Macaca fascicularis: one gene and its partner. The protein of the gene in region 1 purifies or fractionates together with the protein of each later gene. This does not show direct contact. Links are inferred from orthologs where the notes say so. Each region holds a gene or a part of one and is shown on either strand. Other genes may lie near its edges.

The links. Proteins that work in one complex are often made in the same cells at the same time.
Region 2: the proteins of BIRC2 (region 1) and TANK purify together in Homo sapiens (affinity purification with mass spectrometry; 4 studies listed by BioGRID and IntAct, with this or other methods). This does not show direct contact. The link is inferred for Macaca fascicularis from reciprocal best matches to the Homo sapiens genes BIRC2 and TANK.

The regions. Positions count from the first base shown.
Region 1 is NC_088388.1:101,372,317-101,375,972, reverse strand, and holds part of BIRC2 (baculoviral IAP repeat-containing protein 2), read right to left. Parts: intron 2,556-3,656; coding exon 2,477-2,555; intron 1,789-2,476; coding exon 1,740-1,788; intron 1-1,739. UniProt on the Homo sapiens protein: Multi-functional protein which regulates not only caspases and apoptosis, but also modulates inflammatory signaling and immunity, mitogenic kinase signaling, and cell proliferation, as well as cell invasion and metastasis.
Region 2 is NC_088386.1:56,627,810-56,631,465, reverse strand, and holds part of TANK (TRAF family member-associated NF-kappa-B activator), read right to left. Parts: intron 1,880-3,656; coding exon 1,771-1,879; intron 674-1,770; coding exon 555-673; intron 1-554.

The sequences.
Region 1 (3,656 bases):
GGTTAACAGGTCAAGTGGTGGATTTGCTAACATGGCAGTCCTTGGTTACCATGACAAGAACAGTTCCAGCAGAACAAGTAAGAGAAAGAATGAAAGGTGAGAAAGTAAAACAGAGTAAGCATAGATAAATCTTCCTAGGTATTTTGTTGTAAAGGGAAGCAGAGTAATAAGATAATAGCTGAATGGGGACATTGGTTCATGGAAGTTTTCCTAGGATTAGCAAAAGTACATTATGTTTATATGCTAACATGAATGATTCAGGAGAGATGGAAAAATTGAAGACTCGAGAGAAAGGGTATGTCACTGCCAAAGTAACCTTCTTAAGTTGGCAGCAGGGGATGGAATACAGAGGAAAAGTGGAAGTATTGGCCTTAGAAAAAGGAAAGAACAATTCATCTCTTATGAACGAACAGAAAGAAAAGTACAAGGATAAATTATGTAGCCTTGTGGTTTTGCTGGTGAGGCAATAAAGCAGCTCTCTTTTGGATTCTATTTTCTTAGGGAAGCAAGGTTATAAACTGACAAGGTGGGAAGAGAGTGTTAGAAAATTACCAAGAAAGAAAACAAGAAACAGTCATTTAAAGATTGACAAAGTGATTTTATTAGGAACTACGGTAGAACTTCAGGGGAGCCTACTTGACAGCAGTGGTTAAAAATTTTAAGAACAGCCCACACTGCTATCTATCTTTTCTAGGTCCATTACACAAGAGATAGCTGTCATGTACCCAGGTACTCTCCTTCCTATTTCCCAGTCAAATACTACCAAATCCTTCATCCAGTCCTCCTGAGCCATGGTTTCTAAGATTCATACATCTTGGTCACCTTTCTCTGGTCCAGTTAACAAATCTACCAGTATCTTTCTTGAAATGCTGTGCCACAAACAGAATGGCCCTTGGTACATAAAACAGTGGATTATTACCTTAGCCATTTTAGACACCATAACATATGTATATTACATAAACTGGCAGATGTGGCTAACATTAAGCTCTAATCAAAAGCTATACTATTTCCTGCCCTTGCGTTGAAATACAACATACCTGACTTAAATACCTAACATCTAGTCCAATTCGTAAATCATATGTGAACTGCTTTTCCAAATCATGCTAGCTCACAGCAACCTTTTCTTTTCTGGGGGGCTTATTATCTGGGGGGCTTATTATTTGCACCGCTTATTTGGCATTGCTTCAAGCTATCTGTTGTTTTTCTTTTGCTTATGTCTCATTTCTCCAGTTGGAATGTCAGCACTAAAAGTGGTAAGTATAGCACTAGAACAAAAACTAGTGTGTAAGCATATATATATATATATATAAAATATTTATTAGCTGACTTCCCAGTATTTTTCCCTATGGCTTCAGAAACTCTTTTAAAAAGTACATACTTTCATTCCTACATTTGTTTTTTTTTGGAGACCGAGTCTCACTCTGTCGCCCAGGCTGAAGTGCAATGGCACAATCTCAGTTCACTGCAACCTCCGCCTCCTGGGTTCAAGCAATTCTCCTGCCTCAGCCTCCCGAGTAGCTGAGACTACAGGCGCATCACGCCTGGCTAATTTTTGTATTTTTAGTAGAGACGGGGTTTACTATGTTGGCCAGGCTGGTCTCGAACTCCTGACCTCAGGTGATCTGCCAACCTCGGCCTCTCAAAGTGTTAGGATTACAGGCATGAGCCACTGCACCCAGCCTATTCCTAAAATTCTTATAAAAATTTACACTCTATACTTAAAATTATTTCATACATACTTGGTGGGTCAGCATTTTCGTCTCCAGTAGTATCCGAAGTTGACAACAGCTATGAAACAAGAGAAAAGTTAATAGGTAAAATCAGATATCCCCAACAATCTGAAAGGAACAACACTAAAGTAAGTTTATGTTAAGTATATGTATATATTCTATTGAGAACTGAGTGATTTATGAGCTTTACTTTGCTTTCTTTCACCCTAATCACATAGATTTCCTTAAATTTCATGTTATCCCAAATTAGAATTCAAGTATTTCTCTAGTTTCAGGAAAGTAGAAAAATGTATCAGTGGTTTCTCATTCCATTAGGAAAATAAGATTTTAACTGGGTTACTCTCAAAGGGTCTCAGAGCCTAACAAGTTATTTTTTGTTTGTTTTTCTGGAAAACAGCAAAGAGACACTAAACCTCCTTCTCTAATCCCATCACAAATTTGTACAGTGGCAGCATAAATGATTTTTCAAAATAGTAAAAACAAACAACAATCTTTTTAAAAAGCCCTAAACAATCAAGTTGATTACAAAAGTAAAAATCAAAGTTGTCATTAACATCAATGAAAATATGTACCTACAATTAATAAAAGAGAAATAAGTATAACTTCTAATACAGGTTGGTACAAAAGTGGTCACGGTTTTGGTCATGATTTTCAATGGCAAAAACCATGATTACTTTTGCACCAATCTAATAGTATTTTTATTATAAAGCAGAATTCAAAGTTGTTGATTTTAAAAATATATTTACCTGTTCAAGAAGATGAGGATATCTACCTTGAATCTCATCAACAAACTCTTGACCTTTCATTCGTATCAAGAACTCACACCTAAAACATATGAGGAAAATTATTTTTTAAAATTGTTCCATATCAATATAACCTGACCATTCTAGAAAAAATGGCTTTCAAATCTTTCATTGTACCCCACAGTAAAAACATTTTACATCACAACCCAGAACACATACATATCTAACGGGAACAAAATTATCATAAAACAATATACATCTTACTGTGTGTTATATATCATGGTATTTTCTTTTTTTTTTTTTTTTTTTTTTTTTTTTTTTTTTTTTTGAGACAGAGTCTTGCTCTGTCACCCAGGCTGGGGTGCAGTGGCCGGATCTCAGCTCACTGCAAGCTCTGCCTCTCGGGTTTAGACCATTCTCCTGCCTCAGCCTCCCGAGTAGCTGGGACTACAGGCGCCCGCCACCTCGCCCGGCTAGTTTTTTGTATTTTTTTAGTAGAGACGGGGTTTCACCGTGTTAGCCAGGATGGTCTCGATCTCCTGACCTCGTGATCCGCCCGTCTCGGCCTCCAAAGTGCTGGGATTACAGGCTTGAGCCACCGCGCCCGGCCAATATATCATGGTATTTTCTAATTCAATCCATTAACACAACAACAACAAAAAGAAAAGCGTCTGCACCTACAAAGGGGAACAAGTTGACTCCCAAAAAACACTATTATACACAATTTATTTTGTGCTTAAAGTGAACTACTTAACAGTTTCAGATACTATTAACTTAGTATTCCTACAACATGATCTTTCACAATATAACTGCTCATCTTTCTTCAATGTTCACTCTTCCATTACATTTGAGCCACAATCCACTACCTTCCCTCCAAAAAATATGGAATCAAATATTTTTATCTATATATAATGTGACAGTGTTTCTCAAGTATTTGTTTTTAAACTGATAGGGCTTCTTGAAGATGTTCCAAGAAGTTCACATACCATCTATATCCATTCTACTCCTTTTGTTTCTTCAACAAATGATACTCTACAACAGGATATACGTATTTAAAAAACAAAAAACTCTGACCTATGCCCATATTATATGCAAAAATAGCAAAAATAAAAGTAAAAATAGATCATATACCTAAATATAAAACCTAAAATAATAAAACTTCTAGGAAAAAGTACAGGAGAAA
Region 2 (3,656 bases), on another chromosome or scaffold:
GGCTTTTAATTATTTAGAGACAGGGTCTCACTCTGTTGCCCAAGCTGGAATGCAGTGTCATGATCATGGGTCACTGTAGCAGCCTTGATCTCTCAGGCCCAAGCAATCCTCCCACCTCGGCCCACTGAGTAGCTGGGACTACAGGCATGTGCCATCCTGTGTGGCTAATTTTTAAATTTTTTATACAGATAGGGGTCCCCCTATGTTGCCCAGGCTGGTCTCAAACTGTTGAGCTCAAGTGAACCTCCCTCCTTCACCTCCCAAAGTGTTTGAATTACAGGAGTGAGTCACTGTGCCCAGTCCTATTTCTTTGTTAAATCTTTTCTTTGTTGAAATGCTTGTGATGTAGAAAAAAGGTTAGTAGGAAATACAAAACCTTAGCCTTTATTTTACTTGAAAATAGTTCTTCTATTCAGAAATATTTAAGTCACATATTTATATACATGGAACTTCTGTTTGGAATTCCCGTGGTAGATCACTTCAGAAAAATAAAATGAGGAAGCTAGGTTACGCATCAGCATTTGAATGCTGCTTTCTGCAGAAGCAATGTCTACCTTTGGTAGCTTTTCCTTTGCTATTCCTGAAATCACTTTATTATGTGGCTGATCAACAGTCAAATTATTCTTCCTTGTTTCACTGTCTTCAAGCAGAGGAACACAGCCATAATTGCCATCTGCAAGACAAAAACCTCTTGGATATTAGCAGAAAACCCTTATTTTTGGTACCACCTGAAAAAGCAAAAGTAATACAAACTCAAAACCGTAAAGAGAATAGATTTTAAGGTAGGAGTTTTAGAAAATTCTTTAGGTAATAGTTACTTTGACAAGTTGTCCATTTACATTTTTTCCTTCCCACTAAACATACAAAACCCCTGCTCTCCAAAAGTCAGCAGTATGTAAAATATACAGAATTTAGAAAACTAGAAATATGCTCTTTGCCCCTGTCAGCAACAATTCAACTTTTATATAAGTCATATTTTCAGGTATGCATTTCTTATTTAAGATAATTATTTGTATTATGACTCCATGCTTATCATAGGAAAATTAGAAAATGCAGACAGCCAAAAAGAATAAAAAGTAAATGTTACCCAAATTTTTATCACCTGTGAATTATTCCAGTTAATACTTCTGTTCCTAAACACATAAATTCACACAAGAATCACCTTTTTCTGCATAAATGAAAATAACACTTATTTACGTATCCTGCTTCGTTCATTTTGCTATATATCATCAACATATTCTTACAAGTTAATACTTATTATCACTTTTCTTGGCTACATAGCTATTCATATAGATCACTGTAACTATTGAATATTTGTTTCTAGCTTTCCATGATTAGAAATTATACTGCGATACACATCCTTGCATATATATTTTTGAGTACCTGAACAAATGTTTTCTCATGATATAGTCTTAGGACTTGAGTTTTTGGTTCAAAAGGCATGGATGTTTTCAAAAGCTTTTGCTGCTATTTACTGGCAAATTGCTTTTTAGAAAGTTTTATAAACTTAGAGTTCCACTGTATTGTATAGTATAGTATAGTATAGTATAGTATAGTATAGTATAGTATAGTATAGTATAGAATAGTATAGGTGAAAGTCCACTTTCCCATATCCTGCAAGTGTTCATTTAAATAAATGTAACATATAACTGTACCACAGTTATAATATCAAAACTACTGAGAAACAACGAAGGAATAAAACAGAAGAACTCAGCTTACACTTTTCACCAAGAGGTTCTAGAAATACATAAAAAATTAACATGCACATACCTTGAGTGGAATTCACAAGAAGTAACTGTGATTTTAGCTTGTCAATAATAGTTTGTTGAAGTGACAGCTGTTCCTGTTGTTCACGTATTCTCTGCTCATAGTTCTCAGTCTGCTGACATAAAAACCAGTTAGCCTGATATTTACTGACAGACATGAACACATTATTTACCATCCATTAATAATATAAATAGATATGAGTTGCCCACATTGTCATTTTGCAGGTATTGTGATTTATGAGATACAAACTGGCTCCAGGAATGTACTTGTAATTGCTACAAACATTTGTGATTGAAGACACTTAAAGCACCGTAAAAGTTTTAAAGATTATCTTATTTGGCCAGGCGCGGTGGCTCATGCCTGTAGTCCCAGCACTTTGGGAGGCCGAGGTGGGTGGATCATGAGGTCAGGAGATCGAGACTATCCTGGCTAACACGGTGAAATCCCGTCCTACTAAAAATACAAAAAAAATTAGCCGGGCATGGTGGTGGGCGCCTGTAGTCCCAGCTACTTGGGAGGCTGAGGCAGGAGAATAGCATGAACCTGGGAGGTGGAGCTTGCAGTGAGCCGAGATCGCGCCACTGTACTCCAGCCTGGTAGACTGAGCAAGACTCCGTCTCAGGAAAAAAAAAAAAAAAAGGATTATCTTATTTAAACACATATCAGTCAAGGATTCAATCTACGATTTCCTGATCCTTCAGTAAGGATCAAAACTGTAATTTAGCATTTATTCCTTAAAGAAAAAAAAAGCACAAATGAAACAACAAATACTATATTAAAATGATTTTTTAAAAAATACACACTAACTTAAAAAATTAAGATTTTGTGTCTTTCAAATAAACACACTTCTAAATTTATTTTTAGGGTACACAAACACTAAGGAAGTGTTGATAAAAATCAAAGGGACAAATACAAATTATAAAATTATAATGACCAGAAACTTGTCTGCTAAGTTTTAAGAAATTAAGAGAACACCATGGTTGACCTTTGGTGTCTATCTTAAATGCCATAGTTTCCCTTATATTGTTAATCCATTCATTTTGCTATTTTATTACAATGACTGTGAAAATACAGCAATGAAATAAGACACAAGTTTGTACTGAAGAATACAGATGCCGCAAACCTTCAAGCAAATTTGAAACTGTTGTATCACAATTACCAAATTAGTACAGTCTTAAAAACGTATCACCAAACAGTAACAGAGAACTTTTTTTTTTCTTTAACCAATTTCTATCCCTGGAGGGATAAATAATGTTTAAGTTGCAAATTCCTTGAAATATAAAATGAAAATGAAGTTCTAATAATCTCAGAATGATATTCAGTGGATACTATTTGACTTTAAACTGATTCTTTTTTTTTTTTTTTTTTTTTTGAGACGGAGTCTCGCTGTGTCTCCCAGGCTGGAGTGCAGTGGCGTGATCTCGGCTCACTGCAAGCTCCGCCTCCCGGGTTCACGCCATTCTCCCGCCTCAGCCTCCCAAGTAGCTGAGACTACAGGTGCTCGCCACCACGCCCGGCTAGTTTTTTGTATTTTTAGTAGAGACGGGGTTTCACCATGTTAGCCAGGATAGTCTCGATCTCCTGACCTCGTGATCCACCCGCCTCGGCCTCCCAAAGTGCTGGGATTACAGGCTTGAGCCACCGCGCCCGGCCTAAACTGATTCTTAAAGTTCAAAATTAGTGAAGCTCTATTATTTTCAGAGACCAATAAACTTAAAAATTTTAATAAATTACACAGCTGTTCATAGATTAGCAAATATAAATTAGCTTAAGAAATTAAAGCTGGCAGTGAAACTCCGTCTCTACTAAAAAATACAAAAAACTAGCCGGGCGAGGTGGCAGGCGCCTGTAGTCCCAGCTACTCGGGAGGCTGAGGCGGGAGAATGGTG